Linked DNA regions of Mytilus edulis. The protein of the gene in region 2 purifies or fractionates together with the protein of the main gene of each other region. This does not show direct contact. Links are inferred from orthologs where the notes say so. Each region holds a gene or a part of one and is shown on either strand. Other genes may lie near its edges.

Evidence for each region. Proteins that work in one complex are often made in the same cells at the same time.
Region 1: the proteins of actin-related protein 2/3 complex subunit 1A-B-like (region 2) and actin-related protein 2 purify together in Homo sapiens (affinity purification with mass spectrometry; 9 studies listed by BioGRID and IntAct, counting the BioPlex papers as one, with this or other methods). This does not show direct contact. The link is inferred for Mytilus edulis from reciprocal best matches to the Homo sapiens genes ARPC1A and ACTR2.

Annotation. Positions count from the first base shown.
Region 1 is NC_092346.1:18,321,884-18,325,645, forward strand, and holds the start of actin-related protein 2, read left to right. Parts: upstream 1-1,330; 5' UTR 1,331-1,441; coding exon 1,442-1,489; intron 1,490-3,762. Other genes in the region: uncharacterized protein, read right to left, coding at 1,090-1,254. UniProt on the Homo sapiens protein: ATP-binding component of the Arp2/3 complex, a multiprotein complex that mediates actin polymerization upon stimulation by nucleation-promoting factor (NPF).
Region 2 is NC_092352.1:40,470,433-40,474,194, reverse strand, and holds the start of actin-related protein 2/3 complex subunit 1A-B-like, read left to right. Parts: upstream 1-1,497; 5' UTR 1,498-1,612; intron 1,613-2,386; 5' UTR 2,387-2,407; coding exon 2,408-2,474; intron 2,475-3,333; coding exon 3,334-3,485; intron 3,486-3,762. Other genes in the region: protein canopy 4-like, read right to left, coding at 1,147-1,282. UniProt on the Homo sapiens protein: Probably functions as a component of the Arp2/3 complex which is involved in regulation of actin polymerization and together with an activating nucleation-promoting factor (NPF) mediates the formation of branched actin networks.

The sequences.
Region 1 (3,762 bases), on a different chromosome or scaffold from region 2:
CGTCGAATGAATTGTGAAAATCAGCACGATATAGGCAATGGTTTTGAAATTTCCCTGCAGTATTCTTTTATATGGCCTACATTCTGGTTAAATAATGTGTGATCCCTCACTCAGGAGGATAACCACGGATAAGGATTAGCAATAATCCGATGGATTCGTTATACACGAATCACGTCATTAGATAAATTACGTCATTAACATGTAGTGCACTTTTTGCGTACTTTTTCATCTTTTTATGTTTTTGATTTTTTTTTGCGCTTTTTCTAATCCGTTCTTTGTAAAGGTATTTGAATAACTTCTATCTTCTTTATTTTATGTATGTAAAATTTTATTTTTATTATATTCTTACAATTTTGGAAAGTAAATGCTTAAAAACTTTAGGCAGTTTAGGAAAGTAAGCCTAGAATATATAAATATACTAAATGGCCTACTGCAATAGCGTCGGGAAAAAAGAGTGGATTTGAAACTCTATAGTTCTAAATATTATATAATTTTATATATATTTATAAACGCATCCTTACATAATTTTATTTTCATAAATTTCATAAAAAAGCTCCCCTTTCATATCTTTTAATATTGGTAAAAAAACGCGCGAATGTTTCAAGACGGAGGAATTAGATTTATCACAAAAACGGCGACGTCATAGTACATTACGTAGTTCATAACATCATTTCAATCGGCCGATGAATCGGCCCTTTGGCACTGAAAGGAGTATGACTTTGGGCCGATCATCGGCCCTATGGCACAGAACTCGTTAATTATTTAATATTTTGAATTGTTTGTAGATTTGTTTTCATTAAAGAGGGGCGAGTTGGCCACGTACATTTACGTAAATGTACATTGATAGTGGGTCTTCCAATGGATAGAAACAAGTGCCTGTGGGCACTTTGGTGAAAAAGTGGGGCGGTTTGTCAGTAGAGCAATTTATCCTGCTTCCCCACACTGAATTTTTACAAAGAGATTGTAAATATAAATTTTGATGGAAGGAATATAATTTTTTGAAGCAAATGTATGTCCTGTTCACGGCAAACTTAACCAAATTATCCGCTCCCCCTTTTTCAGAAAAAAAAACATATTTGTTAGTCGTACATCAGATCCATCGAATTGTCTGAGTTCAGATTCTGAGAAAATCTTTGCAGGTTCATTTTCGTTCTTTCCTGCTATTTCAATTTCAATCTGTTTGTATTTTCCTTTTATATTTGTGAAAATAAGAAAAAGTAAAACAGCTGTCAAAACTTGGCTGGTGGCTGCCATTGTTGTTGTTGAAATGATTTGATAAAACAGAACATTTGATTGGCTATAGATTTTACAATAACTAATCACGGACCTTGTAACGTATTTCCCGTTGTGAGTCAAATGCCGGGGTGTTAACTTCCGGTTTGTCTGCTAGAAGGAAAAGACCAAAGTTTGCATATTACTGCTGAATCCATCACCATCTGCCATGGATAAAGATGGAAGGAAAGTTGTTGTCTGTGATAATGGCACAGGAGTAAGCACTTTGAAAAAAATATTTCATACTTTACCGTTCTAATGATTTTAAATTTGTAAACAAACCCGGAAGTGTCAATATAGAGTTCCTTACTATTTATCTTTATATTTTTAATGCATAAAACTATACGAATAAAAATGCACAAACTACACTAAATGAACACAAACATATGTAATTCATTTTCACTTTGCACATATTACTTTATGAATCTGCATTCTATCAACATGATCCACAAATGTCTATTACCCAATACTTTTATTTGCCAACTACCCCTGTTGTAGTGTTGACAATTTTGAAGTTTTAATGCAATGAACTTTTCTAATCTTGGAAAGGCATTGAAAACTTTACTTGCATCTTGAGTACCAGTAAATTTGCTTGCGGTATTGTTTTCTAAAAAAACAGGTTCCAAACAGTCTGCGCAAATGGCGGATCTAGGTGGAGGGGGGTGGTTGGACCCTATATGTACCTTTTTTTTGGAAGATCAATGCATTTGAATGGGGACATATGGTTGGACCTCCTTCCCCTCCCCTGTCTATCCTGGGTTCGGAACACACCCCCCATTTTTTTTTAAATGGCTGTATCCGCCCCTGTTGCCAGGGATTGAAGTTAAGATTTTGGCACGGTTGCCCACAGCTTAAATTTGTAGACAATATATATAGTTTTAAATTAGGGAAGAAGAAATTTCAGTAGCCCACACCAAATTTTAGGGGCCATTGGTGAGTGTGCCTCTGCTAATTTCATACTGTGTCACTCTGTGTGCACCGTTACTAATCCGCCTCTCTGCGCTGTTACAAATGTACTAACAGTGCTACTGGCTTTAGCCACTAGTCTGGTGCCCAAGACTAATTAAACTTTATTCGAATTAGTTAGTTTATTAAAAACTTTGTTTAGACACATAAAAAAAAACCTCTTAATATTGGGTCTTTAGACTAGTAGTCAAAAAGTATTTAGTGCAGACTGTCGAAACATGATTACAGGAGTCCAAAACTAGCAAAGCCTGAAATAAAAATTTGACAATGGATTGGTCTTCTTTGAATTCAGTTTCATTTATATGTGGTAGAAAAGATTGCATGTATTTTCTAGGTTATGAAATGTAAATAAGATTCTAGACGTTATTTTGAAAATTGTTTTCTCTCATTGTCATGATTGTCAGTTATCAGGAAGATTTGATTTCATATCCTGCTTGTTATTATTCCCAATCTTAATACCAATTTTAAGTCTTGGTTTGTTCATTTGAACTTATTCTGACTCTAATTCAAATTATCAAAAGTTACAAAGCAGCTAATGATAATTCTCTTTTATTTACTTTTAGCAGGTTACATGTACAATGATGTATGTTGTTAGTGTTTCCTGCAGCTTTTAAAAAGGGCAGGGTAATTGTTAGCTCAGAGGGCACATTAAGCACGATGGACAACAATTTTAGGGCACTTACTTAATATAAACAGGCAATTTCTATAAAATGGATTCATTTAAAACATACTAGTTTAATGCTATAAAAAGGACATATACATCTGTAATCAATCATTAAAACAAATTGTTAAACAAGAAAAAGTGTTTAAAACATATATATGAAATATTTAAAACAATAAACACAATTAAAAACAAAATCAGTTCTTTAAAAATGTTTAAAAACAAGAAAGAACTATGTCATATATATATATAAAAATATTGCTTTTGTCATATTAATTGTCATTGACAAATCCTCCTTTTTTCCCCTAAAAACAGGTTGACACATTCCCTGATATCCAAATCATCTATTTGCTGACACTAGAACAAGATTGTTTACAGTTGACACATTCAGTCTATTTCTGCCTCTTTGGTGCTGAAAATAAATAAATTACACATAAAACAAGAATATCTTAAATAATCTGGAAGTTTTTTCATAAATTGTTCCTTTCTTAAATTAATTCAAATTAAAAACTGAAGAAGTAAATTTAAAAAAAATAATTTGATGAAAAAATGAATTAATTGAAAGTAATTAATATGCAAGTGATTTCATGAGATCATTGGCCTAACTCAACTTTAACCTTAAATTATCCCTTTGACAAAAGTTTATTTTTACCCCCGAAATAACAGTAACACCATTGCAAGTGCGTAACCATTTTGTAATAAAAATCTACAAACCTTTAAAAAAATGATAAAAGCTTTCTGCATTTTGCGGCCTGTTTCTCATTTTCTTCCTCACGTTTTCACTTCCGATTTGTTGATGGCATGATAAGTATCTGTATTCACTATTCAATCTTTTGCAGTTTGCTAATCAGCTGATTACGAAA
Region 2 (3,762 bases):
TATTTGTAGTACTTTTTTCTAATCTTTTGTGATTCAAAAGATTATCTTATCACCCTCAACCAAATCTATATTTATTAGCAACATATGATGTAGATGCCAGAAAAAAATCTATTTTACTTTTACTATGACTAAAAGTTTAACAGAAAAATACTAGATTCATCCTCAACTCATTCATTTCCTCTGACCTATTCATCCTTCCAATTTCCCCTGACAAATGTGTGTATAAAAACACCATTCAAATAGGAACATAATCTACTCAAATTTATCAATTTTAGGATTTCGCATTGATCACCTGCAGTGATCCTTTTTATAAAATTCTTTGATTAATTTTATGAAAGACAATGACATATAAAATGTATAACTAAACATATAGTTATTGAGTTTTATCTTTCACAACAGCTGTATAAATTTATGACAGCAACTACATATTTTTTTTTTTGACTCTTCACTTGATGACTTTTATCTTTTACATCATCCTAAATTACAGCTGTTGTAATTTTCCATATTTATTATGGGAAATTATGTTATCAATTTTTTTCTGTCTCTGAACATTCTGAAGGGATGGTCCTCAGACCTGTCTATACTATTTATAAATGAAACTGAAGAAATTAAAAAAAAAACATATATATCTTTAAATTTTGAAAGAAAAGAAGAAATAAACATGATAAATGTAAAGACTGCCAGATAAATATAAAGCAATACATTTAAGGTATATATATGTATACCTTTTGCAATTTAATGTTAATGATGAGACAAATGTAATATTCAAAAGTCTTTAAAAAGGAAACAAAGACAAGCACAGATTTGATCTCGACTAATGCAAATAATTGAAAGCTTTCTTAAGACATAATACACATTTTGTACAGCATAAAATATTCATACAGGGATTTAAATTCTATAAGGAAGATAATTCCTTTTAACAGCCAATCAATGAATGCCATCTGGATTTATAGTGGATAATGCACTTTCTAGTAAAAAATTAAATAAAATTATTTTACTTTAAATTTCTTTTAATATTTAATGAGATTCATTACAAAAAAAATCTGAGAATACTTCTTTTTTTCACAATATCAATTTCTTTTTCAGCCTTTATATATTTTTTAGTTATTTTAAATATAAAATTACTTTTTAGTGATAAAAAATTACCTTCACATTTGCTTGGCATGATAACCCCATCACTGCTGACATCAGCAAATGACTTTTGAAGAATGGCAATGCCTAAAAACAGAAGAAAACTGGCCATTTTCAGTGGACACATCCTGCACATGTAGTTTGTATACATTCACAACAAGGAAGTATTTCCTTTGCACTTTGACCCATGAAGGAAGTATTTATTAAGATATACAACATACAGAAAATAAAATATTATATTATTTCATCTAAAAAATAGTAAACAGTTATCAAAAAATATATAATAAATGAATTAGATGAACAATGGCTTAAATTTATATTTACTTATTCAGACATAGATTTAATTCAAGATAAATATTTTATGTTGAACATCAAACAAGTACCGGTTAGTCAGAGAGGAAACAAGTGTGAAGAAGAACTTTTATCTCTAACTTTTCGTGTTGACTGATCAGAGTCCACGGAATTTCTCAATTTTTTTCAGGTAAAAAGGGGTGAATATATATTGGTTACGTATGCATATTTATATTTGAGTTGCAAAAGTATCTCCATTGGTGTTTGTAAACATTGCACTTGCAGATCCTCCCACCCGGAAGCATCTTCATCAGGTTGGGGAAAGAAATCCGAATGAGGAATAGTTCCTCAAATGAGAAGTTGGAAGATCGAGCTATATTTATAAGGGGGTAACCAACCCGGGGTAAAAGCAGAGAAGTCCAACCATATGTCCCCTTTCAAATGCATAATGATCGTTAAAAAATAAAAGGGGTGAAAAAGGCAGTGTCTGCACGTACCCGAATATGTGTATGCTTAGCCAAATTGCCCTTTGTAGGCTATGCCTACCGCAACCGACTTTATAATAAACTGTCATAGGATCAGGAATGAAATGTGAAAGATACATGAAAATTATAAAAGAACGTTAAAAGAATAAAAATATACTTAATGTGAATAAATGTGCAGGTACGTGCAGACACTGCCTTGAAAAATGTGAATTAAAAAAAATATTTAATTTAAACGAAAGCTGTGTCAGATCCAATAGAGATCAATTCACAATTGATGCTATGAAAATATTCAATCCAACAGGATGTATTAAGCAGAGTTCGGGAAAGTACATGTATTAATTTAAAGCAGGGGTTCAAACTTTCTTAATTAGAAACGGTGATAGTTACATTGTAATCATCAAACCGATTATAAGCGTATATGTTAAGTATTAAAAGAAGTTCACCATTAATATGATAAAAACTGTTCATGTATATTTCAGTTTGTCTGGTAAAACAAAAAGATGACAGAAAAGCATAGTTTTGGTGTAACAGCAGTTTCATGTCATGCATGGAATAGTAATAGATCAGGTGTGTATAATAAAAAAAGGTGCTTTACCTAAAAAAAAAACCAACCTTGTGTGTTGATTGGATTCTGAGTGTTTTTCAGACATATATATCATATATGCAATATCTCCTTTCATTCATTTTTAGAACAGACAAATAAATGAAAAATGCTAATATTTTTGAACATACTCATATGCCATTATGGAAAATGCTTGATTTGCAACTTACATTTAATGTTTGAAAAAAGTACTTTAAAATACCCTACTTACATGTTTCTTAATTGGTATCAAATCTAGATTAAACAAGAAATACTAGAAAATGTATTAAAATAAAGTGAAATATTGAAACCGCTGTTATCAAGTCTCTCGTCTCATGACATGTATATATGTCATGGTTTATGTTTGTCACAAAAATGGGGATCAGATTCATCAAGAAACTTACACACTTCTGAAATCAATTTGCTGACTAAGTAAGCTGCAAGTAAAGTCAAAAATACAAATGCACATATAAACCAGGTATTAAATGGGGAAAAAAATTGTTTACATTGTAGATAGATATAGAAAGATGTGGTGTGAGTGCCAATGAGAAAACTCTCCAGCCAAATAACAATTTATACAAGTAAACCATTATAGGTCATTTTACGACCTTCGACATATAGCTTTGGCTCTTACCGAAAAAACAAGCTATAAAGGGTCCCAAAATTACTAGTGTAAAACCATTTAAACAGGAAAACCAACGGTCTAATCTATATAAAACAAGAGAAACAAGAAACACGTATAAATTACATAAACAAAGAACAGCTACTGTACTTCAGATTCCTGACTTAGGACGGGTTTATGCAATGACAGATGTTGAAAATTTTTATAAAATTTTCTTTTTTCAGAAATTGCTCTATCTCAGAATGATTCAATAGTGAGAATCTACAAGAAAAGTGGAAACAAATTTGATGAAACCGCCAGTCTCACAGAGCATGGTCAACAAGTAACGGGAATTGAATGGGCATCTAAAAGTAACAGGATTGTAACTTGTGGAGCTGTAAGTTAAATGTACAAGGATATATTTGATATATGAGTTTTAATGTGAACTTACAAATTAGAAACTACAAAAAACAACTTCTTGATATTTTGTATATTTAAAGCTTGGTATATTGGCTATGATGTGTAGTAAAGTTGTAAAATATTCTAGCCACTAGATAAAATGGAAATATCTTACGACTGTTGTTGTTTAAGCTCTAATATGAAAATACATTAGCAAAATACATAAGCGAAATAATAATTACCTTGAAATTGAAATTGACAGTGCTGAGCCTGGA